Anolis sagrei: one gene and its partners. The protein of the gene in region 1 interacts with the protein of each later gene in a pairwise test. Links are inferred from orthologs where the notes say so. Each region holds a gene or a part of one and is shown on either strand. Other genes may lie near its edges.

Region 1 (7,702 bases):
TGCATGATTCTCAGCCAATTTATCTTAATACAATCACCCCTCTACATTCGGTGGTGGCCCCTCGACTCTGGAACTCACTCCCCAAGGACATCAGGCATGCCCCAACTCTGGCAGTCTTTAGGAGGAGCCTGAAGACATGGCTGTTCTAGTGTGCCTTCCCAGAATAAGGAAACTCCTAGCAATATGTCCCTAAATGCACTTTATCAATGTTCTAGGATTGTCTTCACACCCCTTTCCTCTCCGAAATTCTATCCTAGTTACATATTTCACCTGGTCATGCTCAGCATTATTTTTTTTAAAAAAAATTATTACATTTGGCCCAGCCATAGGTTTTAATGTGTTGTTGTGCTATTGTTAATGTTTACTGCTGTTTTTTGTTTTTGAGTTTCAGATTGTTTGTATTGCTATTGTTGTTTTTGCTGATGTATTGTGGGCTCGGCCTCATGTAAGCCGCACCAAGTCCCTTGGGGAGATGGTAGTGGGGTACAAATAGTTTATTATTATTATTGGGGTAAGATGCACAGGACACCCGCATCTCCGTCTATTAACCCACGTGTTCCCTTCGTTCATCTGGAGAGGCCCTGCTCGTGATCCCACCTGCGTCGCAGGCGCGTTTGGTGGGGACGAGGGACAGGGCCTTTTCTATGGTGGCCCCCCGACTTTGGAACACCCTCCCCAAGGACATCATTGTATTGTTATGTTGTTGTTTTTATTGAGGCCTTGGCCTGTGTAAGCCGCATCGAGTCCTTCGGGAGATGCTAGCGGGGTACAAATAAAGTTAATAATAATAATAATAATAATAATAAATTGAAAAATTGCAAATTTTTTCTCCCCTGAGGGAAAATCTTTCTAGGGCTTTTCTAGGTCCTCCAGCACAACTCTGTGGTCATATTCCGCTGAAAGCTGGCCACAGAAAAGCACTGGAGGACCTAGAGAGTCCTAGAGAGATTTTCTCATGCTGGATCCTCCAGCGTGACTCTATAGTCAACTTCCTAGAGAGAAAATTGTGAAAGTTGGAGTCCAAAAAACCTGGAGGTATTACTATTACTATTATTATTATTGGGGTAAGACACACAGGACCCCCGCAAAAGGTGAAGACAGAAGGGAGCAGAAGGCACTTCCATCTTGTCTTCTGCCTATATCATCACTTGAGAGGCCCCTCCCCCTTCTGGCACTAACGGCTGTTCTGGCCAGAGCAAAGACAGAAGGCAGCAGAAGACACTTCCATCTTGTCTTTACTAATAATATAATATAGTATATTGTATATACATATAATATTTATAATATTATAATGTAATATAATATAATACTAGTAATAATAATTCAATATTATAATTATAATTATATATTTACATTACATGTAATATTACTAATAATACTACAATATAACGGTATTGTGCAATATAGTAATATATACTGATATTGTACTATGCTAATAATATAATATATTGTATGAAAATATATATTGTAAGCCGCTCTGAGTCCCCTTCGGGGTGAGAAGGGCGAGATATAAATGCCATAAATAAATAAATAATAAATAAAATTGAAAAATTGCAATTTTTTCTCACCTGAGGGAAAATCTTTCTAGGGTTTTTCTAGGTCCCCCAGCACAACTCTGTGGTCATATTCCGCTGAAAGCTGGCCACAGAAATGCACTGGAGGACCTAGAGAGTCCTAGAGAGATTTTCTCATGCTGGATCCTCCAGCATGACTCTGTAGTCAACTTCCTAGAGAGAACATTGTGAGAGTTGGAGTCCAAAAAACCTGGAGGTATTATTATTATTATTGGGGTAAGACACACAGGACGCCCGGGAAAATCTTTCTAGGGGTTTTCTAGGTCCTCCAGCACAACTCTGTGGTTATATTCCGCTGAAAGCTGGCCACAGAAATGCACTGGAGGACCTAGAGAGTCCTAGAGAGATTTTCTCATGCTGGATCCTCCAGCATGACTCTATACTCAACTTCCTAGAGAGAATATTGTGAGCGTTGGAGTCCAAAAAACCTGGAGGTATTATTATTACTATTATTATTGGGGTAAGATGGACAGGACCCCCGGGAAAATCTTTCTAGGGGTTTTCTAGGTCCTCCAGCACAACTCTGTGGTCGTATTCCGCTGAAAGCTGGCCACAGAAATGCACTGGAGGACCTAGAGAGATTTTCTCATGCTGGATCCTCCAGCGTGACTCTGTAGTCTACTTCCTCGAGAGAACATTGTGAGAGTTGGAGTCCAAAAAACCTGGAGGAAGGCCCAAGTTGGTCCAGGCTTGCTGTGGAGGTTTCTAAGCAGGTGGCCATCTGTCGGGAGTACTTTGGTGGTGTACTCCCGCGTGGCAATCTCCCAATCAGCCAGATCAAGGCCCTCCTTTGTCCCTGTTCTTCCCAGAGAGTAAAGAAAAGGCGCCAGGAGGGAGAGCGATGGTGCCAGGCCCGGCCTTCCCTTCTCCCGCCCCGTTAAAGGCGTGCGCAGAGCCACCAACGGCCATGCCTGCCTCCATAGCTCGCCTCCCGGGAAATCAGGCGAAAGAGGAGAAAGGCGAAGTTGGCTAACAAGAAGGACAATACCCGCCCCCCCTCCCCCGCCGCATAGGCCCAGCCATATGGTAGCGCCCGCCTCAGGTAAACGGGCCCTTCCATTCTCACCAAGGGGGGCGCGTCCGAAGCAGGCGGGATTTCGACGCCCTCACGCCCTGCCCACCTCTCTCTCTCTCTCTCGTTCGCTCGCTTACCTTGTTTGTTTTCGTTAAGCTGCCGCTCGAACTCGTCGAAGTCGGACATGGCGACGGAATAATAAGACTCAAGCCCGGCCTGGCTCTTCTGCCCGCTTGCTTCACCGCCGCCTCACGCAGTAGGCCGCAACGGCGCCTTTCCTTGAGTTCGGCAACTTCCGGCAAGGGCTTCGGTTGGTTACGGAAAGGCTCGGCTGCGTGCGAAGGCGCGTCTCTACTTCGGTCACTCCCTTTTCGGCTTTTTCCGTAAAGGTTCGTGTGCTGACGGAAATGTTCGGCTATATTCGAGAGAGCCTCCTCTCACGATTCTCGTCCTCGCGGTCGCTCCGCCTCGTCTCACTCCCGCCTGTAAAGCATCTTCGGCTTTTTCCGGAGAGGTTCGGGTTTTTCCTCCCAACGTCACTTCCTCTGCCCGTGTTCGAGTGTCGCATGCTCTTGGCTCCTCCCTGCATTGTGTTATGTTGACAATAGGGAAAGCGAACGATTGGTTCCGGGGCTATTGGGTTTTTCCACCAGACGCCCTTTAGTTGAATGTACAGGGTTAGTCAAAATGCATAGGCCAATAAGCCATTCAATTGAATGGCTTATTGGCCTATGCATTTTGACTAACCCTGTATTGTAGAAGGCTTTCATGGCCGGAATCGCTGGGTTGCTGAGTTTTCCGGGCTGTATGCCCATGTTCCAGAAGCATTCCCTCCTGACGTTTCGCCTACATCAATGGCAGGCATCCTGAGAAATACTCCTGTTTTTTTATTTTAAAGTTTTTTTAATGCTGGTAGCCAGATTTTGTTCATTTCTGAAAGAAAACCATGAAAAGGAACAAAATCTGGCTACCAGTATTTTAAAAACTCTAAAATCAAAATAAAGAGCAACACTCAAAAACAGGAGAATTCCAGACAAGAAACAATCAGGGCCAGCTCACTACCTCTGAGGATGCTTGCCATAGATGCAGGCGAAACGTCAGGAGAAATGCCTCTAACATGGCCCTATAGCCCGAAAAAACCCACAAGAACCTAGTGATTCCAGCCATGAAAGCCTTCGACAATCAGGGCCAGCTTATTACCTCCCAACTAAGAATTCCCCCAGGCAGGAAGCAGCCAGACCTTGAAACTCCAATGCCATTAAATGCGAATCAAGGCGGCCAATTGCAACATCCAGATATATAAACTCAATTTCTCTAGTTTCCAAGAGACCTCACAACCTCTGAGGACGCCTGCCACAGATGTGGGTGAAACATCAGGAGAGAATGCTTCTGGAACATGGTCATACAGCCCAGAAAACTCACAGCAAGGATGCCTGCCATAGATGTAGGTGAAACATCAGGAGAGAATGCTTCTGGAACATGGTCATACAGCCCAGAAAACTCACAGCAAGGATGCCTGCCATAGATGTAGGTGAAACATCAGGAGAGAATGCTTCTGGAACATGGCCATACAGCCCGGAAAACTCACAGCAACCCAGCCCTTTAATTGCTTTGGGTCTCTTTTTTTTTTTGGGAGAAATTTGGACACAAAAGGGAGCCAGTCCACCACGTGGTGGAAGTAATGGAAAATATAATATAAAAATATATAATTTATTTTTATATTCTCCCAAAAGCATTCAGCCTTTTATTTCATTAGCTTAATTCATATTTGGTGCCATTGCTTTTCCCCCAAATGAATTAAGCATTTCCGGTTTCTGGATCTTAGAAGGGCAACTTCCTGTCGTTTATGCTACTAAATGGAGAAAATATAAATTCTCCAAATATAAATAAAATATACATTCCTCCACCACCTCAATCCAACGGATTATTTTAAAAACACCTAACTTCTGCATAATTAAAATATGGAGAACTACAAAGATAGGAGACACCCAAAGGAATCTTGTGCCTTCTGATGGAATAAATTAAGGGTGCATTTATTATTATTATTATTATTATTATTATTATTAACTTTATTTGTACCCCGCGAGCATCTCCCAAAGGACTCGATGCGGCTTACAAAGGCCGAAGCCACAAAACACAATACAATAGAGAACATAACAAGCAATAACAAAACAAATCAAAATCAAAAAGCAAATCAAAATCAAAAATTGGCAAGACAGCAATAACAATACATCAAGACATATTAAAACTGGTTCGGCCGGCGAGAGGGGTACAAGGTTAAAAGTGCTGAAATGATAGGAGGGGCGTAGGGATTAAAGTACGGTGTGCAGTAGTGTTAATTGTGCTAAAGTGCTACTAGGACTTGTAGAATGAATGCAGATTGACACCACTTTAATCTCCACAGCTCCAACCTATGGGATCTTAGATATTGTAGTTTGCTGTAGCCCCAGAGCTCTCTGAAAGAAAAGAAAAATACCTTGCTAAACTACACACCCCAGAATTCCATAGCATTGCGGCAATTCAACCCCACACTGCCTAAGTCTCCAGTCCTCAACGAGGAAAAATTAACTTAGAATAGGCTGAGGGTTTCCTCCCCCCCCCCCCCCCCAAGTCTCTTATATGACAGTTGGAATGTAACTATTTGTGCTCTCCTCTGTTTCTGCTAAAATTGGTTGTGTATAATTTATACTTTTCTACTGAAGACCTTACCTTCTACTTTTACATCTTTGAATATGCTGTGTGTATTGAGATCTTTGTATGTCAAGAGAGATGTAGTGGTTGATGATTTTTCCCTCTCTTTGAAACCTTAGACGAGATGGGTGTTAAGAGTAGCTCAGACCCAGTTCTTTACTTTTAAGAAATATAGTTAAACTTTTTGTGATTTTTTTTAAAGACAAGATTCTGCATCTTTGCATCATAAGTTCTAAATTCCTTGCAGCCACATCACATGGCACTTCATGCTTTGTATTGTCGAAGGCTTTCATGGCCAGAATCACTGGGTTGTTGTAGTTTTTTTCAGGCTATATGGCCATGTTCCAGAGGCATTTTCTCCTGACGTTTCGCCTGCATCTATGGCAAGCATCCTCACTACCTCTGAGGATGCTTGCCATAGATGCAGGCGAAACTTCAGGAGAAAATGCCTCTAGAACATGGCCATATAGCCCGAAAAAATCTACAACAACCCAACTTCATGCTTTGCTTGCTGTGGGCTGATTGCTCAACTTTAAGTATCCTGTTTGTGTTTTGGATGCTCTGCTATATTTTTGGGTAGTTTTCCCTAACAGTATCAAACTGTTGCACTTCTGCAGTGTTGATGCAGCCTTGATCCACAAAAGCTTATGCTACCAATGTTTTGAGTTAGCCCCCATATACACTGCAATAGAATCCAGTTTCAGAATGCAGTTTAACTGCATTGAACGGGGGTTTTTTGAGTCCACACTGCCATATAATGCACTTCAATGCCATTGAACTGCAGTCTGAAACTGCATTGTATACTGTAGTAGTGTATATGTGGCCTTAATCTCAAAGGTGCCATAAGGATCCCTTGGCATGCATATCCTGATTAACTAGGCTATGAATCTCCAAGGATGCCTGATGTATCTTTCATTGTAGGGTGGAGGAAATATGTAGACCTCCAAGTGTTGATTTCAGACTATTCATCCCTCATTGTTGACAGTGTTGGCTGAGGCTGTTAGGAGTTGTAACCCAACAGAGGCTTTGCATTCTTATACGGTATGGATTGCCAGTCACTTCCAAATATGAGCCATTCAGTGAAGTTACAGAAATGCACCTAGTGAAGTTACAGAAATGTTTTGTACAGCTATGTTCCTTTCAGAATATTGTATGTTACCTTCATAATTCAACTGTGATGCCAGGTTATTAATGTTTTCATTTCACAGTTTGATAACTAAATCCGAACTTATCCAAGGATCTCTAGAAAATACATACTTGGCTGTGAATTCCAATCCAATCTCCTTGTTCATTCCCAAAGAGGCAGTGAAATACCAATTTATAGATAAATAGATACATCACAGACATTGTTCACTTTTATTCAAAACACAGTTTAATTTAAATCTTAGTAAATAGAATTTGAAACTTTTTATTTTTTTAAATATTTTTAAACACAAGAGGAAAGGGGGCAGGGTTAAAAATTACAGGCACAGTGGAAACAACCCATTAATTACACTGAATAACAAGAGTGCATTCCCAAAAACCAGAGGCAAACTGATGACATCCTTGTATTCAGTCTTTGTCATACATACCCGCAGTGGTATCTTGAAGACATAAATGTGCAGATCAGCCTCCTCAAATTACATCCTCCAGATACTTTGGACTACAGTCTTCATCATAGTCAACTATTCACCTTGCTAGTGATGGGATTGATAGTCCAAAACACCTGAACAGCCTCAGTTGACAAAGCCTGCACCAAGTCTGTATATGATTAGTGCTCACACAAAAGGAGCAAAAAAAAAAAAGAATGAAAATGACCAAAAATTGGCAGCAAAACAAAGAATCCTGTTTGTGTGCCAGTAATAGGCACACAGAAATGAAAGAAAAAGCCTGGCACAACTATGAGGTAAAAGATATGGGACATGGGCAGGGCATGGGAATGTTTTGGGTCGTTGCAGGAAAGTATCTGGAGACCTCAGAACAGTGCAGTTAATCCCTCCAGTTTTAGGAAGATTAGAGTGAAAAGCCGAAGGGAGAGAACTCTTATAAAGCATCAAAGCAAGGTGAGCAATGGTACCCAGCCATATGCCTTCTCAGGTCTAGTCTAATTACTCAGCTGGCTGGAGAAGACAATGGAATAATGGCATGGTACATGAAGTGTCTGAATCCTCCATCAAGAAACACTTTGTAAGGAGACTAAGTAGTAGGACTAAAAATGTGACCACTGCATCCTCACTTGACGTTATGGCCCTTTGGAAATGCATTTCCCAACTTCTAACTATTTACCGGGAGCCCCCGGTGGCACAGTGGGTTAAACCACTGAGCTGCTGAATTTGCTGACCGAAAGGTTGCCGGTTCGAATTCAAGGAGCAGGATGAGCTCCAGCTGTTAGCCCAGCTTCTGCCAACCTAGCAGTTCGAAAACATGCAAATGTGAGTAGATC
Region 2 (8,213 bases), on another chromosome or scaffold:
TGCCTGCAAAATGGTGTGCGAACTCACAACACCGAGTTGCTGGGTCATCGAAGGTCTCTTCCACCACGGGTGGGTGAAGGAGTTCCCCAACAGCCCGAAACATGGCCAGACAGCCTGGAAACCTCAAAGCAACACTGTCTTGACTCATTTTGCACTGAAATGAGGCATTTGTTTAAACCTCCTTTAACCACAACTCTCACAAACTACTGGCACAAAAAGTTATCTCCACCTACCTCTTGGCAATACAACTCAGACAAAAGGCTGGCGGCTTCAAATTTAACATCTTCAAACTGTGGGATCTGGTAGCATTCATATGTTAAGCTAACATACTATTTTCTTGTTTGCTTGTTGTATTGGAACTGTGCAGTTTTACAACTGCAAAGGACTTTGAAGGACACCCAATCCGTGTTGATAGTAAATGCAACATCTGCCTCAAAAGAGACAAGCTTCTGCTTAAATGCTTCCAAGGAAGGGATATATTGAGACTATAATGCAGAGGCGATTCCCAAAATAAACAGAAGAATGACATTTCTCATAACTTGGACCAACATGTGGAATCAGTGAGTGTTTTGTTCATGTATAATTATCTCATGCTAATTTTGGGTGAAAAGTCAATTTGGGACAATCTCAGCTTTCCTAAGACTAGGACAAAAAAGGATACATGCTGCGATATCAGCCACTGTAAAAGAGAAAAACAAAACATTGTTGGAATCTATGCAAAAGGAGCTACAACCACCATTATCTCATAGCCCTGAGCCATGGCAATTCTACTGGTATCAAACTGCATTAATTCTGTGATCTAGATGCACTTTCAGACAGACAGCGATGAAACAACTAGATAAGAATCTGAAATGCAAAGATATACAACTGAAATGTTTTCGTATCAGCATTCTTCATTGTTGAGGTCTCAATTCCATACATGGGAAATATGATGGTACGACTATCCTTGGTGCTTATAATCCATATCAGTGGTTTTCAAAGTGTACTCTACATACTGTGGTGTGGTGGAGGCTCCTTCTTTGGAGGCTTTTAAACAGAGACTGGATGGCTATCTGTCGGGGGTGCTTTGAATGCGATTTTCCTGCTTTTTCGCAGGGGGTTGGACTGGATTGCCCACAAGGTCTCTTCCAACTCTATAAATCTATACTGAGGGGCTCCATTCATCCCTCCTTGCCCTCCCCCTTCCAGTTCCTTTCCCTCCCCCTTCACATACCCAAAACCTTTTTTCCTTGCTTCCCCGCTCCCAAAAGTTTTCCTAACCCTCCTCGCTGCCCAGATCCTTTCTCCCTTGCTTTGCTTGCTTCCCAAACCCTATTTCCCTCCCACTATTCAAGGAGTGCTTTGTGCTTTTCCTGCATGGCAGAAGGGGGTTGGACCGAATGGTCCCTGGGGTTGCTCTTATTACCATTCCTATTAGAGCAATAATAAACAATGCAAATGATAATCGGAAAGGCTTCTGGATTATGTTTTTGGATTATGCAATTTTAAGTAATTGTTTTAAGCGATATTTTTAACAATGTATTTTTAAAGTATATGTTGCTTTAATTTATATGTGTTCAAGGCATCGAATTGTGCCTTTGTTGTGAGCTGTCCTGAGTCCCCTTCCAGTGTGAAGAGGGCAGGATATAAATGTGGTAAATAAATAAAGATTACTACTACTATTATTATTAAAGGCTGGGTGGCCGCTGGGGTGACAAAGGTGGCTGCCATTTGTTGGGGGTGCTCTGATTCTGCTTTTCCTACATGGCAGAATTAAGGGAGTTGGACTGGATGACCGCAGGGGTTGCTCCTATTACTGCTACTATTATTATTATTATTACTGCAAAGGCTGGATGGCTCCTATTACTAGTAATATTATTACAAAGGGTGGGTGGTCATCTGTTGGGGGTGCTTTGATTGTGTTTTTCTTGCATGGCAGAATAAAGGGGGTTGGACTGTATGGCCCCTGGGGTTGCTCCTATTATTACTACAAAAGGTGGGTAGACATCTGTTGTGGATGATTTCATTGTGCTTTTCCTGATTGGCAGAATAAAGGGGGTTGGACTGGATGGCCTCAGGTTCCAATTACTATTCTTATTATTACTACTACAAAGGGTGGTTGCCATCTGTTGGGAGGGGGGGTGCTCCTATTACTATTCTTATTATTACTGCAAAGGCTGGATGGCCTCTGGGGTTGCTCCTATTATTATTACAAAGGCTGGGTGGCCATTTGTTGGGTGTACTTTGATTGTGCTTTTCCTGCATGGCAGAATAAAGGGAGTTGGACTGGATGGCCTCTGGGGTTGTTCCTATTACAAGTGTAAGCTGTCCTGAGTACCCCTCTGGGAGTTGAGTAAGATGGGGTAGAAAATGCTGGAAATAAACAAATATTATTATTACTACTGCAAAGGCTGGATGGCCCCTTGGATTGCTCCTACTACTATTATAATGCAAAGGCTGGATGGTCCCTGGGGTTGCTCCTATTACTATTATTATTGCAAAAGCTAGGTGGCCATTTGTTGGGGGTGCTTTGATTGGATGGCAGAATAAAGGGGGTTGGACTGAATGGTCCCTGGGATTGCTCCTGTTATTATTATTACAAAAACTCGGTGGCCATCTGTTGGGGGTGCTTTGATTGTGCTTTTCCTGCATGGCAGTCCCCCTTGTTTGACTGAATGATTGCCAAACTGGAAGCCACTCCGAGTCCCCTTCGGGGTGGAGATAGAACGGGGTAAAATATATATAAATAAAATTATAATGTTCGTTTGTGGGATTAACAGAACTCAAAAACCACAGGAGGGAATTGACACCAAATTTGGGCAGCATACACCTAACAATCCAATGTATGTCCTTCACTCAAAAAATTGAGTTTGTCATTTGGGAGTTGTAGTTGCTAGGATTTATAGTAGTACACCTACAATCAAAGAGCATTCTGAATTCTACCAATGATGGAATTGAACCAAACGTGGCACACAGGACTCCCACAACCAAGAGAAAATACTGGAAGGGTTTGGTGGGCATTGACCTTGAGTTTGGGAGTTGTAGTTCACCTATATTCATAGAGCACTGTGGACTCAAACAATGATGGATCTGGACCAAACTTGGCATGAATATTCCATAAGCCCAAATATAAACACAGATGGAGTTTTGGGAAAATAGACCTTGACATTTGGGAGTTGTAGTTGCTGGGATTTATAGTTTACCTACAATCAAAGAGCATTCTGAACCCTACCAACGACAGAATTGGGACAGACTTCCCACACAGAACCCCCATGACCAACAGAAAATACTTAAGGCCATCCAGTCCAACTCCCTTCACCAGGCAAGAAAACATTATCAAAGCCCTCCGGACAAAGAGCCATCAAGCCACAGATAGAGATACATAGTATTATTCACACACACACGGTGAATCATATATATTCACAGGGGTTTAACCCGGTGGCGCAGCGGGTTAAACCCCTGTGACGGCAGGACTGAAGACCGACAGGTCGCAGGTTCAAATCTTAATGAGGTTCAAATCTTAATGAGACATGCCGCATTATCACGGGGTGTCTGCGCCCTACACCACTGGAGAAATTACACTGCTTAGCTGGTATTGCACCACCTGATATCCGCCGGGAAGTAGCAGCCAGCATGTCAACGACTTAAATGTAGACATAATTTTCTAAGATCTACAGAGACACTCGCTGGAACACCTCAGCAAGCGGGAGTCCAAAAGTGGCAGGCTCAAATCCAGAACCTCAACCAATGGCTGATACCAAATGAGAGACTCCTCCCTGGCACACAGAGGACTGGGCGACTTGGAAGGCGCTGAACAGACTGCGCTCTGGCACCACGAGATGCAGAGCCAACCTTCAGAAATAGGGCTACAAAGTGGAATCCTCGACATGCGAATGTGGAGAGGAGCAAACCACAGACCACCTGCTGCAATGCAACCTGAGCCCTGCCACATGCACAATGGAGGACCTTCTTGCAGCAACACCAGAAGCACTCCAAGTGGCCAGATACTGGTCAAAGGACATTTAATCAACTACCAAACTCAAAAATTTTGTATTATGTCTGTTTGTTTGCTTTGTTCTGTTAGAAATATGATATAATTGACTGGCTGCCCTAACACGAAATAAATAAAAAATTCCGAGGAGAGGCGGATGAGCTCCCTCTATCAACTCCAGCTCCTCATGCGGGGACATGAGAAAACCTCCCACAAGGAAGATAAAAACATCAATTCATCCGGGCGTCCCCTGGGCAACGTCCTTGCAGACGGCCAATTCTCTCACACCAGAAGCGACTTGTAGTTTCTCAAGTCGCTCCTGACACGACAAACAAACAAACCAGATATAGCATCATAGATTTGAAAGGGACCTCCAAAAGAAGGACAATTATATGTTGCATGTTCCAGAGTAGTCAAACCAGACACTCTCCACATCAACACTGACAAAGAAAGAACAAGAAATACTGTTTACCCACAAGCACAAAGAAATTACATATATTAGAAACCAACACTTTCTGGTTACTTTATTTTCCAGATCACCAGACAGCAAAGCATGTAAAGAAATACTCACGGCCTTCTCGAGGTGTCCGCGGGCCTGCTCTCCGTTGCGGGTGTGGTGGTAAAGGACGGAGCCGAGCTGGAGGTGGGTGCGGGCCTCGACGCGGGCCGGGGGCTTGCGTGGCAGCACGGCTTGGAGGCAGTGGACGCAGAGGCGCACTTTGGGCGGGCTGGAGGTGCGGAAGTGCTCGGCCAGGCCCAGCAGCGCCACGTACCACGACTCCGACGAGGACGGCGAGGCCCCGCCGCCAGAGGAAGAAGCCGAGGACGAAGACCCGCCCGAGCCAGGGTTGTTGCCCCCGGCTGGAGCGGCCTCGGAGCCGGCCTGCTGAGGTGGCGCCGTCGCGCTACTCCCTCCCGGAGGCTGAGGCGCCGAGGCCGACGAAGACGGAGCCACCGCCACTGCGGACGACGTCGACGTTGGCGTCGAGGCCGAAGACACCGCCGTCTCCGCTCCCGAAGCTCCCACCGCCGCCATCTTGGATTTACCTCAGCCGAAGACCCGAATGACGGCCACTGCGCCTGCGAAAAAACCCGTCCTTGCCGAGTTGGCCAATCGGAGGAGAGGACGGCTGCGCTGGGACGCACGCGCAATTCGGGCTCTGCTGCGACGCATGCGTAGTCTGGAGGTCCCTTGTTTATCTCAGCGAACACAAAAGGAGCTTGGCTTGGGGGGAGGAGACAAGAAATGCTGTCTTCTCGCGAGAGTTGGCAGATAATTCTATTAAGAGCTTGGGCTGGTGCGCGTGCGGCATTGTGGGAGAAAAGGAACTTCCTGAGAGACATGGAAGGAGGCAGAGAAGCGCCAGGTGAGTCTTTTTCCCCTACACGCCCCTCCCACCTCCATCCAGGTGGGTCCCAATGGCCCACCTGGCCTCCCTAGAAGCTCCTTTGCCTTTCTCCCGTGAAATCAACAGGCTTCCTCTCTCAGGTAGGGCCTTGTTGTCTAGGCCATTCCCTCATTGTGTTATCGAAGGCTTTCATGGCCAGAATAACTGGATTTCCCCCAAACAGGAAGCAGCGAGGCTTTGAAGCTGCAAGGCTATTCAGTGGAAGGCTATTCATATGCCTGCCACTTGCCACTTGCCTTATTTATATATTTATTTATTTACTTTGCTTATATACCGCTGTTCTCAGCCCAGGGGCGACTCACAGCGGCGTACAACATAGAAAGAACAAGGTTCAGAATACAAGACACAATATAAAATAATCCACAGTCCATCATTAACAAAAAAACATCATCATCAGAAAACATCATCATTACTACAAAAGCCATTCCGCGTCGTCTCATCATCAAAACCACAATCCAGTATAATTATCCGTTGTTCCATTCCTATAGTCAATTACCAATCATTGCACTTCTTGTTCGAACGCCTTCTTAAACAGCCAGGTCTTTAATTTCCTGCGGAATATTATCAGGGAAGGAGCCAGTCTGATGTCCACGGGAAGGGTGTTCCACAGCCGAGGAGCCACTACTGAGAAGGCCCTATCTCTCGTCTCCGCCAGCCGTGCCTGTGAAGCAGGCGGGATTGAGAGCAGAGCCTCCCCGGAAGATCTCAAAGTCCTCGTGGGCTCATAGGTCGAGAGGTGGTCAGTTAGGTATCTTGGGCCGGAACCGTTTAGGGCTTTATAGGCCAATGCCAGCACCTTGAATTGAGCCCGGTAGCAGATCGGCAGCCAGTGGAGCTGGTACAACAGGAGGGTTGTATGCTCCCTGCGTCCCGCTCCTGTTAGTATCATGGCTGCCGCACATTGGACCAGTTGGAGCTTCCGGGCCGTCTTCAAAGGCAACCCCACGTAGAGAGCGTTGCAGTAGTCTAAACGGGATGTAACCAGAGCGTGGACTACCGTGGCCAAGTCAGACTTCCCAAGGTACGGGCGCAGCTGGCGCACGAGCCTAAGCTGTGCAAATGCTCCCCTGGTCACCGCCGAAACCTGGGGCTTCAGGCTCAGCGATGAATCCAGGATCACACCCAAGCTGCGAACCTACGCCTTCAAGGGGAGTGCGACCCCATCCAGTACATTTCCAACAGACCTCTTAAGATGCCAGCCACAGCTGTGTGCGAAATGTCAGGAGAGAATGCTACTAGAACATGGCCAGACAGCCTGAAAAACTCACAGCAACCCAGTGATTCTGGCTATGAAAGCCTTCAGCAACATATGCCCATGTTGATAGGAGGGAAACCTCAATCTCTTTGTGTGGTTTTTGTGAGCCTTGAGCCTCCCATGTTTTTCCTTTCTCCTGTTTGACCAGGCAAAGTCAGCCGGTGGTTTGGCGTCACCATGCCCAAGTCGATGAAGACCAACGTGAACATCCTCCATCAGGAGAAGCTGATTGCCCAGAAGAAGCGGGAGATCGAGGCCAAGATGGAGCGGCAGGCCAAGCAGAGTCACTTGGCCCGGCAGCAGTCCTCACAGGCCAGCGAGTCCGTAGGAGTTGGGGCAAGGGGGGCGCTTGCTTGCTTGTTTACTTTTTGATAGGTTTATCTATGATCTTTCCAACATTGCATGCAAGACTTACAAGCATAGGCCAAAGCAGTGGTCTCCAAACCCAACTTCAAGTTTCCAAAATTGTAGGATCATATAATTCTAGAGTTGGAAAAGACTCCAGGGCTATGCAGCCCAAACCCCTTCTGCTAGGCAGGAAGACACCATCCAAGCCCTCCTGACAGATGACCATGAAACCTCGTAGACACCATTAGGTTCACGGAGGCAATAGAATCCTGAGTTGGAAGAGACCACAAAGGGGCATACAGTCCAACCTCATTCTGCTAGGCAGGAAGACACAATCAGATTTATTTTATTTTTATTTACTTATGTCAGAAGAAAATTGAGAATACAGTTATAATATTTTTTAAAATCCACAAACAAAGTTAGAAAGCTTGGCATTATGCTAAATTTTCTTTGGCCAGAAGCTGGCCCCTTGGGGTGCCTCTGGTGTCGCTGTGAGAAGGTCCTCCATTGTACATGTGGCCGAGGTTAGTCTGTATTGCCACAGGTGGTCTGTGGTTTGCTCTTCTCCACACTCGCATGTCACGGACTCCACTTTGAGTCCCCATTTCTTAGCGTTGGCTCTGCATCTCATGGTGCCAGAGTGCAGCCTGTTCAGTGCCTTCCAAGTCACCCAGTCTTCTATGTGCCTAGGAGGGAGTTTCTCATTGGGTATCAGTAAGTGATTGAAGTTCCATTTTTTTTCCTGCCACTTTTGCACTTTCGCTTGTTGAGGTGTTCCTGCAAGTATCTCCATAGATCTTAGAAAGCTGTTTCTTGATTTAAATCATTGGCATGCTGGCTGCTATCCAAACAGAGAATGGGCCAGAGATGTCAATGTCTTGATCCTTTCATTACTAGCTGCTACTTCCCTGAGGATATCAGGTGGTGCAATACTGGGTAAACATAATTTCCCCAGTGGTGTAAAGCATAGACATTCTGTGATGTCACGTCCACTCTTATAACATGTTGAAATGTATTCCACACTGGGCATGTGTACTCAGCAGCAGAGTAGCAAAGTGCAAGGGCAGATGTCTTCACTGTGTGTGGTTGTGATCCCCAGGTTCTGCCAGTCAGCTTTTGTATGTTATTGTTTCTAGTACTCAGTTTTTGCTTGATAGTCAAGCAGTGCTTCTTGTAGGTCAGAGCATGGTCCAGAGCAACTCCCAGGTATTTGGGTGTGCTTCAATGCTCC
Region 3 (7,757 bases), on another chromosome or scaffold:
AGGTGGACCCTGCTCAAGGTGGACCCTTGTCAAAGTGGTCCCTGGTCAAGGTGGTCCCTGCTCAAGGTGGACCTTGGTCAAGGTGGTCCTTGCTCAAGTGGTCCCTGGTCAAAGTGGTCTCTGGTCAAAGTGGTCCCTGATCAAGGTGGACCCTGCTCAAGGTGGCCCCTGGTTAAGGTGGACCCTGCTCAAGGTGGACCCTTGTCAAAGTGGTCCCTGGTCAAGGTGGATACTGGTCAAGGTGGTCCCTGGTCAAGGTGGCCCCTGGTCAAAGGGGTCCCTGGTCAAGGAGGTCCCTGGTCAAAGTGGCTCCTGGTCAAAGTGATCCCTGGTCAAGGTGGTCCCTGGTCAAGGTGGACCCTGTTCAAGGTGGATCCTGCTCAAGGTGGACCCTGCTCAAGGTGGACCCTGGTCAAAATGGCTCCTGGTCAAGGTGGCCCCTGGTCAAGGTGGTCCCTGATCAAAGTGGTCCCTGATCAAAGTGGTCCCTGGTCAGGTGGTCCCTCGCCAAGGTGGTCCCTCGTCAAGGTGGTCCCTTGACGAACCACTGATCTAGACACTAGACGTCTATTGATGCATCCTAGAATCACATTGGCCTTTTCAGCTGCTGCATCACACTGTTGACTCATGCAGAAAAAATACAGAATAGTATATACATTTAGGGGGTGTTGTTGTTTCTTATTGCGTCTGGAGGGAAGGCAAGTAAGCATCCGACTCGATCTGTGCTCTTTGACAAGGGGTCTCCTTTCTCCTCTTCTCCAGGGTCCTCACCATGGATGGGATCATCGACGAAGCCAAGCGGCGGCGGTATTACGAGAAGCCGTGCCGCAGGAGGCAGCGGGAGACCTACGAAGCGTGCCGGAATATATATAACACGGAAATGGCTCGGAAGATCAGCTTCATCGCACGCAAGAATCGCGCAGACCCTTGGATGGGTTGCTGAACTCAAGGGTTTTCCGTATTGGAGACCTAACAGCGCATTCCTTTTGGTGGGATTGTTTTGAACCCCCTTAATCATCAGAGTATCTTGGTTTCTTTTTACAGTCTGAAAAATGATGACGCCAATAAAGCCCTTGTGAAAAATCACTTGGTGATTGTGGGATTTCTAGTGGGATGTCCTCATGGTGTTTGATTTTTAAGGGGAGCAATTCGTTAAAATTATTTACATACAATATTTATAATATTATAATATAATGCAATATGATACTACTACTGATATATGATATTATAATTGTATATTTATATTCCATGTAATATTAGTAATAATATTACAATATAATGGTATAGTGCAATATAGTAACATTTAGCAATTCGTTAAAATTATATACATATAATATTTATAATATTATAATGTAATGCAATACATTACTATTAATAATAATATAATATTATAATTATATATTTATACTCCATGTAATATTACTAATAATATTACAATGTAATGGTATAGTACAATAAAGTAATTTTTAGCAATTCGTTAAAATTATATACATAAAATATTTATAATATTATAATGTAATGCAATATAATACTACTACTACTAATATAATTATATATTATTATTTTACTAATAATAATTTTAATATAATTATATATTATTATTTTACTAATAAAAATAATATATCATAATTATATATTTATATTCCATGTAATATTACTAATAATATTACAAAATAAAGGTATAGTACAATATAGTAATATTTAGCAATTTGTTAAAATTATATACATAGAATATTTATAATAATATAATATAATGCAATATAATACTATTAATAATAGGATATTTATATATTTATATTCCATGTAATATTACTAATAATATTACAATATAATGGTATAATACAATATAGTAATATTTAGCAATTCGTTAAAATTATATACATAGAATATTTTTAATATTATAATGTAATGCAATATAATACTAATAAAATTAATATATCATAATTATATATTAATATTCCATGTAATATTACTAATATTACAATGGTATAATACAATATAGTAATATTTAGCAAAATTATATACATATAATATTTATAATATTATAATGTAATGCAATATAATACTAATAAAATAATGATATTATAATTATATATTTATATTACATTTAGTATTATTAATAATATTACATTATAATGGTATAGTAATATTTAGCAATTTGTTAAAATTATATACATATAATATTTATAATATTATAATGTAATACAATATAATACTACTAATAATTATTATATTATATATTTATATTCAATGTAATATTACAAATAATATTACAATGGTATAGTACAATATAGTAATATTTAGCAATTTGTTAAAATTATATACATAGAATATTTATAATATTGTAATGCAATATAATACTAATAAAAATAATATATCATAATTATATATGTATGCTCCATGTAATATTACTAATAATATTACAATATAATGGTAAGAGAAAGAAAGAGAAAGGAAGAGAAAGAGGGAGGGAAGAAAGAAAAAGAAGAGAAAAGAAAGACAAGGGAAGGAAGAAAAATGAAAAGAAAGAGGGGGAAGAAAATAAAGGAAGAGGGAGGAAAGGGAAAAGAAAAGGAGAAGAAAGAAAAGGGAAGAGAAAGGGGAGTGAAGAAAGAAAGAAGAGAAAAGAAAAAGGGGAGGGAAGAAAGGAAAGAGGAAAGAAAAAGAAGGAAAAAGAAAGAAAAGAGGAGGAGGAAGAAAGAAAAGGGAAGAGAAAATGGCGGGAAGGAAAGAACAAAAGGAACAAGAGGGAGGGAAGCAAGAAAAAAAGAGGGGAAGATAAAGAATGAAGAGAGAGGGAAGAAAGAAAAAGAAGGGAAGAGAAAATGAAAGGAGGGAAGGAAGAATTAAAAAGATGGGAAGGGAAAGAGAAAAAGGAAAAGAGGGGGGAAGAAAAAGAAAAAGGGAAGGAAGAAAGATGAGAAGAAGAAGAAAAGAGGGAGGGAACAATGAGTAGAAGAGGGAGGGAATAAAGAAGAAGTGAAAGATAAGATAGGAGAGGGGGGCAGAAAGAGAAAAAGATGGGAAAAAACAAAGTAAGGGGGAAGAAATAAAAATAAGCAAAAGAGAAAGAAAGGAGAGGGAGGGAAGAAAAGAAAAAAAGGGAAGAGAAAATGAAGAAAAGGGAGGGAAGAGAAAAAAGGAAAGAAGAGAGAAGGAAGAATTAAAAAGATGGGAAGAGAAACAGAAAAAAGGAAGAGAGAGAAGAAAGAAAAGGGGAAGAAAGATGGGAAGAGGAAAGAAAGGGAGGAGAAAAAAATGAGAGAAAGGGAGGGAAGAAAGAAAAAGATGAGAAGAGGAAATAAGGGGGAAGAAAGAAAATGGAAGCAAAGAGAAAGAAAGGAGAGGGAGGGAAGAAAGAAAAAGGAAGAGAAAGGAAAGAAAGAGAAGGAAGAATAAAAAGATGGGAAGAGAAAAAGGAAGAGAGAGAAGAAGGAAAGGTGGGAAGGGGAAAGAAGGAGGGGAAAAAGAAAAACGAGAAAGGGAGGGAAGAAAGAAAAAAGGGAAGCAAAAACAAAACAAGAGGGAGAAGCAAAGAGAAAGTAAGTAGAGGGAAGAAAGAAATAAAAAGAAAGGAAGAGGGAGGGAAGAAAGAAAAAGAAGGGAAGAGAAGGAAAGGAGAGGGAGGGAAGAAAGAAAAAGAAGGGAAGAGAAAATGAAAAAGGAGGGAGGGAAGGAAGAAAAAGAAGGGAAGGAAGGAGATGGAGGGAAGAAAGAAATAGAAGGGAAGAGAAAATGAAAAAAGGGAGGGAAGAAAGAAAAAGAAGGGAAGAAAGGAGAGGGAGGGAAGAAAAAAGAAGAGAAGGAAGGAAGAAAGAAAGAAAAAGAAGGGAAGAAAGAAAGAAAAAGAAGGGAAGAGAAGGAAAGGAGAGGGAGGGAAGAAAGAAAGAAAAAGAAGGGAAGAGAAGGAAAGGAGAGGGAGGGAAGAAAGAAAAAGAAGGGAAGAGAAGGAAAGGAGAGGGAGGGAAGAAAGAAAAAGAAGGGAAGAGAAGGAAAGGAGAGGGAGGGAAGAAAGAAAGAAAAAGAAGGGAAGAGAAGGAAAGGAGAGGGAGGGAAGAAAGAAAAAGAAGGGAAGAGAAGGAAAGGAGAGGGAGGGAAGAAAGAAAAATAAGGGAAGAGAAGGAAAGGAGAGGGAGGGAAGAAAGAAAAAGAAGGGAAGAGAAGGAAAGGAGAGGGAGGGAAGAAAGAAAGAAAAAGAAGGGAAGAGAAGGAAAGGAGAGGGAGGGAAGAAAGAAAAAGAAGGGAAGAGAAGGAAAGGAGAGGGAGGGAAGAAAGAAAGAAAAAGAAGGGAAGAGAAGGAAAGGAGAGGGAGGGAAGAAAGAAAAAGAAGGGAAGAGAAGGAAAGGAGAGGGAGGGAAGAAAGAAAAAGAAGGGAAGAGAGGGAGGGAAGAAAGAAAGAAAAAGAAAAGAAAGATGGGAAGAGGAAAGAAAGAAAGAAAGAAAGAAAGAAAGAAAGAAGGAGGGAAGAAAGAGAAAACGAAGGGAAGAGAAAGGAAAGAAAGGAAGAAGGGAGGGGAAGGTGTTCTCCATGTGTTTTGGACTTCAACTCCCACCATTCTTTACAGTCTATTAGGATTTGAGGGAGGAAGGCCCAAGTTTGGCCTGACATACAGACTAGGCTTAACTATTGGAAGAAAAGGAGAGCGCCTCCAGCCAATCAGAGCCGCGTCGCCATGGCGACCCCGCTGCGGCGGAAGAGGCGGGGCTTTCCTGGCCGCGGAAGTCCCGCCTCCGAGCGAGAGTAGGGAAAACGTACGCCTCCAGCAAGCAGCTTCCGCTTCCGCTGGGCGACGACCTCGCAGCGCCGTCGAGGGAGCGGGTCTGGAGAGGAGAAGGAGGCGGGAAGGAGGCGGAAGGAGACTCCGAGGACGGGTGAGCCAGGCGGGGAGGCCGCGGAGGCGCCTCAGGGGGAGGAAGGCCCGGCTCCTTCCTGAGGGAAAAGGGGCAAGGCCTGAGGAGCCCCTCAGAGCCGGGCCCTCACCTAAGGGGGGGATGGAGAGGCCTGCCTGGCAGTGGCAGGTTCAGAACGCCTTTAGAGGAGAATCTTCTCTTGTGGGAGACAACCAGGTGCCATTAGTGGGTTGCTGTGCGTTTTCCGGGCCACGTTCCAGAAGCATTCTCTCCTGACATTTCTCCCACAATAATAATAACATCACACAGTCCTAGACACTTGGGAAGTGTTTGACGTGTGATCCAATTCAAGAGCTAGCAGAGTGTCTGCTGTGGACTCATCTTGTTGTGTTTCTAATAATAATAATAATAATAATAATAATAATAATACATCACACAGTCCTAGACACTTGGGAAGGGTACGACGTCTGATCCAATTCAACAGCCACTGTGGACTCATCTTGTTGTGTTTCTAATAATAAATATAATAATAATAATAATAAATAGTCCTAGATACTTGGGAAGTGTCCGACATGTGTGATCCAATTCAACATCCAGCAGAGTGTCTGCTGTGGACTCATCTTGTTGTGTTTCTAATAATAAATATAATAATAATAATAATAATAATAATAATAAATAGTCCTAGACACTTGGGAAGTGTCCGACATGTGTGATCCAGTTCAACAGCCAGCAGAGTGTCTGCTGTGGACTCATGTTGTGTTTCAAATGATAATAATAATAATACATCACACAGCCCTAGACACTTGGGAAGTGTCCGACGTGTGATCCAATTCAGCAGCCAACAGAGTGTCTGCTGTGGAGTCATCTTCTTGTGTTTCTAATAATAATAATAACAATAAATACATAATAATAATAATAATAATAATATTAATAATACATCACACAGTGGTAGACACTTGGGAAGTGTCCGACATGTGATCCAATACAACAGCCAGCAGAGTGTCTGCTGTGGACTCATCTTCTTGTGTTTCTAATAATAATAATAATAATAATATATCACACAGTCCTAGACACTTGGGAAGTGTCTGACGTGTGATCCAATTCAACAGCCAGCAGAGTGTCTGCTGTGGACTCATCTTCTTGTGTTTCTAATAATAATAATAATAATAATAACAACAATAATTCTTTATTGATTAGTCAATTTTGACCATATCAAAACATACAAAACATACACACTTGCCCATACATACAGTAAAACCATATATGAATACAAGGCATCCCGGCCTACTAGCCTGTCAACCCACTCCTAAATGATTGTGCAACTACAAGATAAAAAAAATAAAAGATTAAAAATTGATTAATTCCTTAAAGTAGGGTTTGGGCAGGGGCGCGGGTAGGTAAAACTAGTGGCATGTCCATATTAAGTTTTTAAGCTTGAATTTTGTTGATGGCAGCAAGGTCACCTCTATCTGCTTCCATCTTCTCGTGGATGGCCAGTGCTTTTTGCGTAAACAGGGTCAATTTTAAAATAGAGTTTTAATCTGAACTCTGTAGGAAGATGTGCAATTTCTCCTTATTCTCTAAATGAGTAAATTATAATAATACATCACACAGTCGTAGACACTTGGGAAGTGTCCGACGTGTGATCCAATACAACAGCCAGCAGAGTGTCTGTTGTGGACTCATCTTGTTGTGTTTCTAGTAATAATAATAATAATAATAATAATAATAATAATACATCACACCGTCTAGTAGTAGTAGTAATAATAATAATAATAATAATAATAATACATCACACCGTCCTAGACACTTGGGAAGTGTCCAACGTGTGATCCAATACAACAGCCAGCAGAGTGGCTTCTTGTGTTTCAAATAATAATATAATAATTGAGATGCCAAACGGACAAACCATAAAGTGCAATCAGCCCGAAGCCTATAAATATCTGGGGATACTATAGTTAGACAATATCAGGCATGAGCATGTGAAAAAGTTGGCCACCAAAGAATATATCCAAAGAGTCAGAAAGATTTTGAAGAGCAAGTTAAATGGCGGAAATACGATCAAGGCTCTCACCCCTGGGCCATCCCTGTCATTAGATACACTGCTGGGATTGTGAACTGGACACAAGCAGAGCTGGATGATCTGGACAGAAAAACCAGGAAACTGATGACAATCCACTCCTCATGACACCCGCATAGTGATGTCAACAAACTTGACCTGCTCAGAAAATCAGGAGGCAGAGAGTGGGCTTCTGCAAGTGAAACAAACAGTAGAAGAAGAGAAGCATGCCCTGGCAGATGATGGGAAAGGCAGTCAAGAACCAACATTGAGGGAAGTCAAGAGTAGTAAACCGCTTCAAGTGCAAAAGACAAAGAGGGAATACCGTAAAAACACAATCCAGAGCAGAAGAGAAAACTGACCAAAGAAGGCTCTCCATGGACAATACCTGGGAAAAATTGAGAGCCAAATTGACAAAGAAAAAACATGGCTGTGGCTCAGAAATGGGACTCTGAAAAAGGAGACAAAGGAGGGCCTGATTCTGGCAGTCCAAGAACAAGCCATTAAAACCAAGGCCATCAAAGCCAGAATTGAAAAGTCGACAACAGATCCCAAGTGTAGACTCTGCAAGGAAGCCGATGAAACAATAGATTTCATCCTGAGCTGCTGCAAGAAAATTGCGCAGACAGACTACAAGCAGAGGCATAACACCATTGCTCAGATGATTAATTGGAACTTGTGCCACAAAGACCATCTGCCTGCGACAAAGAACTGGTGGGATCACAAGTTACACTAAACAAACACGTCAAACTCATCTGGGACTTCCGAATTCAGACTGACAGAGTTCTGGAGCAAAATACTCCTTGACGTCACAATTATTATTATTACTACTATTATACTGTGAGCA
Region 4 (7,790 bases), on another chromosome or scaffold:
TCAAAAGGCCAATGAGCTTCTAGGCTACATTAATGGGAATACAGTGCCTAAAGTAAAGGTTTTCCCTTGATATTAAGTCTAGACGGGTCCAACTCTGGAGGATGGTGTTAATCTCCATTTCTAAGCCAAAGAGCCAGCGTTGTCCATAGACACCTCCAAGGTCCTGTGGCTGGCATGACTGCATGGAGTGCAGTTATCTTCCTGCTGAAGCAGTACCTATTGATCTATTCACATTTGCTTGTTTTCAAACCGCTAGGTTGGCGGAAGCTGGGGCTAATAGCAGGAGCTCACCCTTCTCCCCGGATTCAGACTGCCAACCTTTCGGTCAGCAAGTTCAGAGCTCAGCAATTTAACCCGCTGCACCAATGGGGGCTCTATACAATACCTAGATCAAGGGAAATTATAGTCTGCCTCTATTTTGCTTTGCTCAGACCTCATTGGGAAGACTATATCCAGCTCCACAATTTAAGAAGGATTTTGAAAAGATGGAAGCAATCCATTGAAGGATGACCCAAATAGTCAAAGGTCTAGAAGCCAAGCCCTATGAGGAACGGCTTATTGATTTATTTACAATATTTCTATCCTGCCTTTCTCAAACCCGAAGGTAACTCAAGGCAGCTTACAACCAGGCAGCTATTCGATGCCTAACAATTAACAGAATTAAAAATACATTCAATAAAACATACAAAACCAAGGTCTTCACTGTCCATAAATCGTCATCTTAGACGTTCCAATGTCCACTTTCGTCTAATACCGTGTTTGACTGTTGCATTAAATTCCGAAGGCTTGTTCAAATAGCCACGTTTTCACTTTTTTTCTAGAAGGTCAAGAGGGAGGGGGCTGATCTAATATCCCTGGCAAGGGTGTTCCACAACTGAGGGGCCACCACTGAGAAGGCCCTGTCTCTCATCCCCTCCAGTCACGCCTACGAAGAAGGCAGGATCGAGAGCAAGGCCTCCCCGAACGAACTTAACCTCTTAGATGGTTCATACGGAGAGATATGTTCGAACAGGTAAGCTGGGCCAGAACTGTTTAGAGCAGGGGTCCTCAAACTTTTTAAACCGGGGGCCAGTTCACTGTCCCTCAGACCGTTGGAGGGCCGGACTATAGTTTTTTTTAAAAAACATCAATAAAAAAATTCCTATGCACATTGCACATATTTTATTAGCCCTCTTTAGGCAGTAATTTCAGAAGCAGAAAATGGGAAATCTTCCTATTTCTAGTCTGAACAAAATCTGGCTAACAGTATTTAAAAAACTCTAAAATTATAACTGTAAATAAAGAACAACACTCAAACACAGGGGAACTCCAGACAAGAAACAATCAGGGCCAGCTAATCACCTCTCAACAAAGGATTCTCCCTAAAAACTGTCAGGTTATGAAATGGTAATCAAGGTGGCCAATTGAAACATTGATACCTACCTCCAACAGACAAGAGTTCTTTCTCCCACCCTGGATCTTCCACAATTTTCCTAGTTAAAGGTTTTCCTCTGACATGAAGTCCAGTCGTGTCTGACTCTGGGGTGCGTGCTCATCTGCATTTCTAAGTCGAAGAGCCGGCGTTGTCCGTAGACACCTCCAAGGCCATGTGGCCGGCATGACTGCATGGAGCGCTGGGGCAGCATCCTTGGCTGGCTCACGTTGCCCATCGGGCCTGACGGATAGCGTGAGCCTGCCAAGGGAGGAGCAGCCCCGCACGGCCTACTTGCGAGTAAAACACCTCACGATGTGCTTTACACGCAAGTAGGCCACGCTGAGCAGCTGCCCTTGGCTGGCTCACCCTGCCCATTGGGCCTGACGGATAGCGTGAGCCAGCCAAGGTAGGGGCACTGGGGAGGGGGGCGCTCCTCCTCCGCGGGTCGGATAAGTGCCCTTGGCGGGCCGGAAGTGGCCCATGGGCCGTAGTTTGGGGACCCCTGGTTTACAGCTTTATAGGATAAAATCAGCACTTTGAGTTATGCCTGGTAGCAAACGGGCAGCCAGTGGAGTTGGCGTAACAGAGGGGTTGTATACTCCCTGAATGCCACTCCAGAGAGCAATTTGGCTACCGCTCGTTGGATCATTTGAAGCTTCCGAGCAGTCTTCAAGGGCAACCCCGCGTAGAGTGTGTTGCAGTAGTCTATATGGGATGTAGCCAGCTTAGGGAGCTGGGAATATTTAGTCTGGACAAAAGAAAGCTAAGAGGGGAGATGAGGACCATGTTTAAATATTGGGAAGTTGGCCACATAACCTTGGAGGTGTCTATGGACAACGCTGGCTCTTTGGGGTGGGGGGGGGGGGAGTGATGCCATTTGGGAGTTTTAGTTGCTGGAATTTATAGTTCACCAACAACCAAAGAGCATCCTGAACTTCACCAATGATGGAATTGAACCAAACTTGGCACACAAAACTCCCATGACGAACAAAATATACCGGAAGGATTTGGTGGGCATTGACCTTGAAGTTTGGGAGTTATAGTTCACCTACATCCAGAGAGCACTGTGGATGCAAACAATGATAGATCTGGACCAAACTTGGCACGAATACACAATATGCCCAAATGTGAATACTGGTGGAGTTGGGGAAAATAGACCTTGACATTTGGGAGCTGTAGTTGCTGGGATTTATAGTTCACCTACAATCAAAGAGCATCCTGAACCCTGCCAAGGATAGAATTGGGCCAACCTTCCCACATGGAAACCAGATGGCCAATGCTGTGTTTTTGATAGTCTTTGGCGACCCCTCTGACACGTCCTTATGACCCCCCAGGAGTCCAGAGAAAGCAAAGGCCTTTTGGCTGGCTCATGGGCGAAGAGTAGGCCATCTGGCCTAGGCCCTCCCTCAGCAGGCCTCTCCCGTGCTGCCGCCCGAGGTCCCGCCTCCTCCACCTCCGCTTCCTTACCCTCCCGAAGCCCCGGGTTCGCGCTGCCCCGCGCCGCCCGCTGACATGGCTCACGCAGCCCCGCTTAGGCCGCCGCCACCGTCGCCGTCCCCAGCGCTGAGGGGGGAAGAAAAATCCCCTGCTACGTCACTTCCGACTCCTTGCAGGCAGCTTCCGTGATGTAACTTCCGGTAGTTGCCCTGGCGACGAAGAGTGACGCGCTTGTGGGCGGAGCTTCCGGTTTCTGTGGGATTTAAAGGGAAATCACTGAAGGAAAGGAAGAAAGGTATCCCTATACTAGCTGTCCCCTGCCAGGCGTTGCTGTGGCCCAGTCTGGTGGTCTTGAAAATGAAGTAATGAGAAAGTGTTGGTTTCTAATCTATGCCTGTGGGTAAACAGTATTTCTTTCTGTTTCTTTGTCAGTGTTGATGTGGAGATTGTCTGGTTTGCCTACTCTGGAACAGGCAACATATAGAATCATGTATTGCAACATATAGAATCCACCCTCTCACATATTTATACATGACTATCATGTCTCCTCTCAGCCTTCTTTTTTTCAAGCTGAACATGCCCAGCTCCTTAAGCCGCTCCACATAGGGCTTGTTCTCCACACCCTTGATCATTTTAGTCGCCCTCCTCTGGACACATTCCAGCTTGTCAACTCTCACATGTTTATACAGGGCTATCATGTCTCCTCTCAGCCTTCTCTTCTTCAGGCTAAACATGCCCAGCTCCTTAAGCCGCTCCTCATAGGGCTTGTTCTCCAGACCTTTTATCATTTTAGTCGCCCTCCTCTGGACACATTCCAGCTTGTCAACTCTCACATATTTATACATGGCTATCATGTCTCCTCTCAGCCTTCTCTTCTTCAGGCTAAACATGCCCAGCTCCTTAAGCTGCTCCTCATAGGGCTTGTTCTCCACACCCTTGATCATTTTAGTCGCCCTCCTCTGGACACATTCCAGCTTGTCAACTCTCACATATTTATACATGGCTATCATGTCTCCTCTCAGCCTTCTCTTCTTCAGGCTAAACATGCCCAGCTCCTTAAGCCGCTCCTCATAGGGCTTGTTCTCCACACCCTTGATCATTTTAGTCGCCCTCCTCTGGACACATTCCAGCTTGTCAACTCTCACATATTTATACATGGCTATCATGTCTCCTCTCAGCCTTCTGTTCTTCAGGCTAAACATGCCCAGCTCCTTAAGCTGCTCCTCATAGGGCTTGTTCTCCAGACCTTTTATCGTTTTAGTTGCCCTCCTCTGGACACATTCCAGCTTGTCAACTCTCACATATTTATACAGGGCTTGAATGATCTACGAATGGAACAAATCAAGAACTCTGGTCCAAAAGCAAGGCGCTGGCTGCTGGAGCTGATGAACAACTGCACGGCATCCTGTCAGATCCCCAAAATCTGGAGGAAAGCAAGAGTCATCGCCATCTTGAAGCCAGGCAAAGACCGTAATGATCCAAAAAGCTACAGACCAATCTCCCTGTTGTGCCACCTCTACAAAGTTCTGGAAATACTTATTTTGCAGAAAATAACGGAAAATATAGACCCCTGTCTGATCCCACAGCAAGCTGGCTTCAGGAAAGGCAAAAGCTGCACATCGCAAGTGCTGAACCTGACTCAGCACATAGAAGATGGCTTTGAAAGGCAGCAGATCACAGGAGCTGTCTTCATAGACTTGTCAGCAGCCTATGATACTGTAAACCACCGCCTCCTCCTGAGAAAAATGTATAATATCACAAAGGACGACCACCTCACCCGCCTCATAGGAAAGCCGCTACAAAACAGGAGCTTTTTTGTTGAGTTCCAGAGCCAGAGAAGCAGAGGGCGGAAACGGAAGAACGGCCTGCCTCAGGGGAGCGTGCTTGCTCCATCCATGTTCAACATCTACACAAATGACCAGCCACTGCCAGAAGGGACAGAGAGTTTCATCTATGCTGATGATCGTGCCATCACCGCTCAAGCAGGCAGCTTTGAGATGGTTGAACAGAAGCTCTCCGAAGCTCTAGGTGCTCTTACTGCCTATTACAGGGAAAACCAGCTGGTCTCCAACCCATCCAAATCACAGACATGTGCCTTTCATCTCAAGAACAGACAAGCATCCCGAGCTCTGAGGATTACCCGGGAAGGAATCCCACTGGAGCACTGCAGAGCACTCAAATACCTGGGAGTCACTCTGGACCGTGCTCTTACCTACAAGAAGCACTGCCTGAACATCAAGCAAAAAGTGGGTGCTAGAAACAATATCATACGAGAGCTGACGGGCACAACGTGGGGATCACAACCAGATACAGTGAAGACATCTGCCCTTGCGCTCTGCTACTCTGCTGCTGAGTACGCATGCCCAGTGTGGAACACATCTCACCACACTAAAACAGTGGATGTGGCTCTTAATGAGACATGCCGCATTATCACGGGGTGTCTGCGCCCTACACCACTGGAGAAATTACACTGCTTAGCCGGTATTGCACCACCTGACATCTGCCAATAGTGAAAGGACCAAGGCAGAGACATCCCCAGCTCATCCCCTGTTTGGGTATCAGCCAGCACGTCAAGACTTAAATCTAGAAATAGTTTTCTAAGATCTACAGAGACACTCGCTGGAACACCTCAGCAAGCAAGAGTCCAAAAGTGGCAGGCTCAAACCCAGCACCTCAACCAATGGCTGATACCAAATGAGAAACTCCCTCCTGGGCACACAGAGGACTGGGCGACTTGGAAGGCGCTGAACAGACTGCGCTCTGGCACCACGAGATGCAGAGCCAACCTTTAGAAATGGGGCCACAAAGTGGAATCCACGACATGCGAGTGTGGAGAAGACCAAACTACAGACCACCTGCTGCGATGCAACCTGAGCCCTGCCACATGCACAATGGAGGACCTCCTTGCGGCAACACCAGAGGCACTCCAAGTGGCCAGATACTGGTCAAAAGACATTTAATCAACCACCAAGTGTGCAAAGTTTGTGTTTTTCTGTTTGTTTTGTTTAAAAATGTAATATAAATGTCTGGTTGCTCCTGACACGATAAATAAAATAAATACCAATTATTTTATGAGATTATTCTCGGAGCTTGGGTTTGGATTTGTGGTCAACGTAAAGGCTTCCTGGACAGACATCTAAATAAACTGCAACCGGGTAGGAAAGTATTAATACTATTTAATCATGTTCGTACACCATTCTTGAAGGCAAGAACATTAAGACAGAAGGGAAGAGCAGCATGAATTTATCTGATGGAAAGTTCCCCACAATCGAGTCTGTTTACATGCTTCCTTTACATTATTTGTGATAAGGAACACGGACAGAAATGCATTGCGGAGGAGACACCACCAAAGTCAAAGGAACGACTCAGAGTGACTCACTTCCCTTGGTTTCACAGCTCAGGTTTATTTTAGCACCAGGTCCTTAGAACTCATGATGGAAAGCAGAGATACTCGCTACGTAGAGCTGATGCCTGTGCTTGTTTACAGCGATGTACATCCAACTGAATTGAATTGCTGTATGGCAGTGTAGTCGAACATGACCCCCCCCCCATAAGAGATAGTAACTTATAGTTTTGCCAAGGGCAAGGACACCAGGCTGGATAATAAGGGTTAGTTTGGTGTGTATCATTTAATCAAGGCTTTATGCTCTATTTTCATATGTTTACAGCAGAAAGTAACCAATTTATTACTGAAAATCATGCTACATGAAAATCATGCTACATGATGGTCCCCCATCTCACAAACAAGGGACTCTCTTTCCCCCTCGTGGATATATTTCCCTTTATGGACCTTCCTATGGATAATATGAACTATGGACACTGAGGGAAGGTAGCTGGGTTTACTCTCTGTGTTATGATTTCTATTGTTTCATATTTTCTCCTGTATTTCTATATTTCCCTTCGTGTATGCGCCCGTACCTTGGGAAGTCTGACTTGGCCACAGTAGTCCACGCTCTGGTTACATCCCGTTTAGACTACTGCAACGCTCTCTACGTGGGGTTGCCTTTGAAGACTGCTCAGAAGCTTCAACTAGTCCAACGTTCGGCAGCCATGATTCTAACAGGAGCGGAGCGCAGGGAGCATACAACCCCCCTGTTGCGCCAATTCCACTGGCTACCGATTTGCTACCGGGCCCAATTCAAAGTGCTGGCGTTGACCTTTAAAGCCCTAAACGGTTCCGGCCCAAGCTACCTATCCGACCGCATCTCTGCCTATGAACCCACCAGGACTTTGAGATCTTCCGGGGAGGCCCTGCTCTCGATCCCGCCTGCCTCACAGGCACGGCTGGCGGGGACGAGAGATAGGGCCTTCTCGGTGGTGGCCCCTCGGCTGTGGAACGCCCTTCCTATGGATATTAGACTAGCTCCATCATTAATGGTATTCTGCAAAAAAGTGAAGACCTGGTTGTTTGAGCAGGCGTTCGAATAGTCAGTGCAATGAGTGTAATGAACATAGGAATGGAACAATGAATGACGGATCTGGATCATGTTTTTAGTGATGAGACGCTAGTGAATGGCTATTGTTGTTAACTGTATATTATTGTATAATGTGTTATGATGTTAACTGTTTTTATACCGTGTTATTGTAGCATTGAAGTTTTGCTGTTCTGTTGTTAACCGCTGTGAGTCGCCTAAGGGCTGAGAACAGCGGTATACAAATAAAGTAAATAATAATTAAATAAATGTATTTGACCTTGCCCTGAGCCTTTTGCCCCCCTCCCCTCTCCTTTGGGGAAATCTACAATCCCTGCCTCTGGAAAAGCAATCAGCAATCATGAAAAGACCCTTATCTTTGGACATTCTTTGCATGGACAAGAGTAAAGGAAATCCTTTTGACTTCGGAGTTGGGCCACCATTAGGATTTCCGTTTGCCAGACATTTTAATCATATAACAATGGGGGGAATATGACCTTAGGAAAGTCCTCTTTTCCTCCAAGCCA

Evidence for each region.
Region 2: the proteins of U2AF2 (region 1) and SUGP1 interact in binary tests that used the Homo sapiens proteins (3 or more experiments, as listed by UniProt). The link is inferred for Anolis sagrei from reciprocal best matches to the Homo sapiens genes U2AF2 and SUGP1.
Region 3: the proteins of U2AF2 (region 1) and PRPF3 interact in binary tests that used the Homo sapiens proteins (3 or more experiments, as listed by UniProt). The link is inferred for Anolis sagrei from reciprocal best matches to the Homo sapiens genes U2AF2 and PRPF3.
Region 4: the proteins of U2AF2 (region 1) and KHDC4 interact in binary tests that used the Homo sapiens proteins (3 or more experiments, as listed by UniProt). The two-hybrid records come from large-scale screens. The link is inferred for Anolis sagrei from reciprocal best matches to the Homo sapiens genes U2AF2 and KHDC4.

The regions. Positions count from the first base shown.
Region 1 is NC_090026.1:17,873,500-17,881,201, reverse strand, and holds the start of U2AF2 (splicing factor U2AF 65 kDa subunit), read right to left. Parts: upstream 3,078-7,702; 5' UTR 2,776-3,077; coding exon 2,727-2,775; intron 1-2,726. UniProt on the Homo sapiens protein: Plays a role in pre-mRNA splicing and 3'-end processing. By recruiting PRPF19 and the PRP19C/Prp19 complex/NTC/Nineteen complex to the RNA polymerase II C-terminal domain (CTD), and thereby pre-mRNA, may couple transcription to splicing.
Region 2 is NC_090034.1:50,625,221-50,633,433, reverse strand, and holds the start of SUGP1 (SURP and G-patch domain-containing protein 1), read left to right. Parts: upstream 1-5,156; 5' UTR 5,157-5,216; coding exon 5,217-5,337; intron 5,338-6,782; coding exon 6,783-6,954; intron 6,955-8,213. Other genes in the region: MAU2 chromatid cohesion factor homolog, read right to left, coding at 234-299, 662-679, 4,542-5,006.
Region 3 is NC_090032.1:6,002,486-6,010,242, forward strand, and holds the start of PRPF3 (U4/U6 small nuclear ribonucleoprotein Prp3), read left to right. Parts: upstream 1-4,749; 5' UTR 4,750-4,872; intron 4,873-7,757. Other genes in the region: MRPS21 (small ribosomal subunit protein bS21m), read left to right, coding at 763-943. UniProt on the Homo sapiens protein: Plays a role in pre-mRNA splicing as component of the U4/U6-U5 tri-snRNP complex that is involved in spliceosome assembly, and as component of the precatalytic spliceosome (spliceosome B complex).
Region 4 is NC_090032.1:14,755,347-14,763,136, reverse strand, and holds the start of KHDC4 (KH homology domain-containing protein 4), read right to left. Parts: upstream 3,026-7,790; 5' UTR 2,929-3,025; coding exon 2,882-2,928; intron 1-2,881.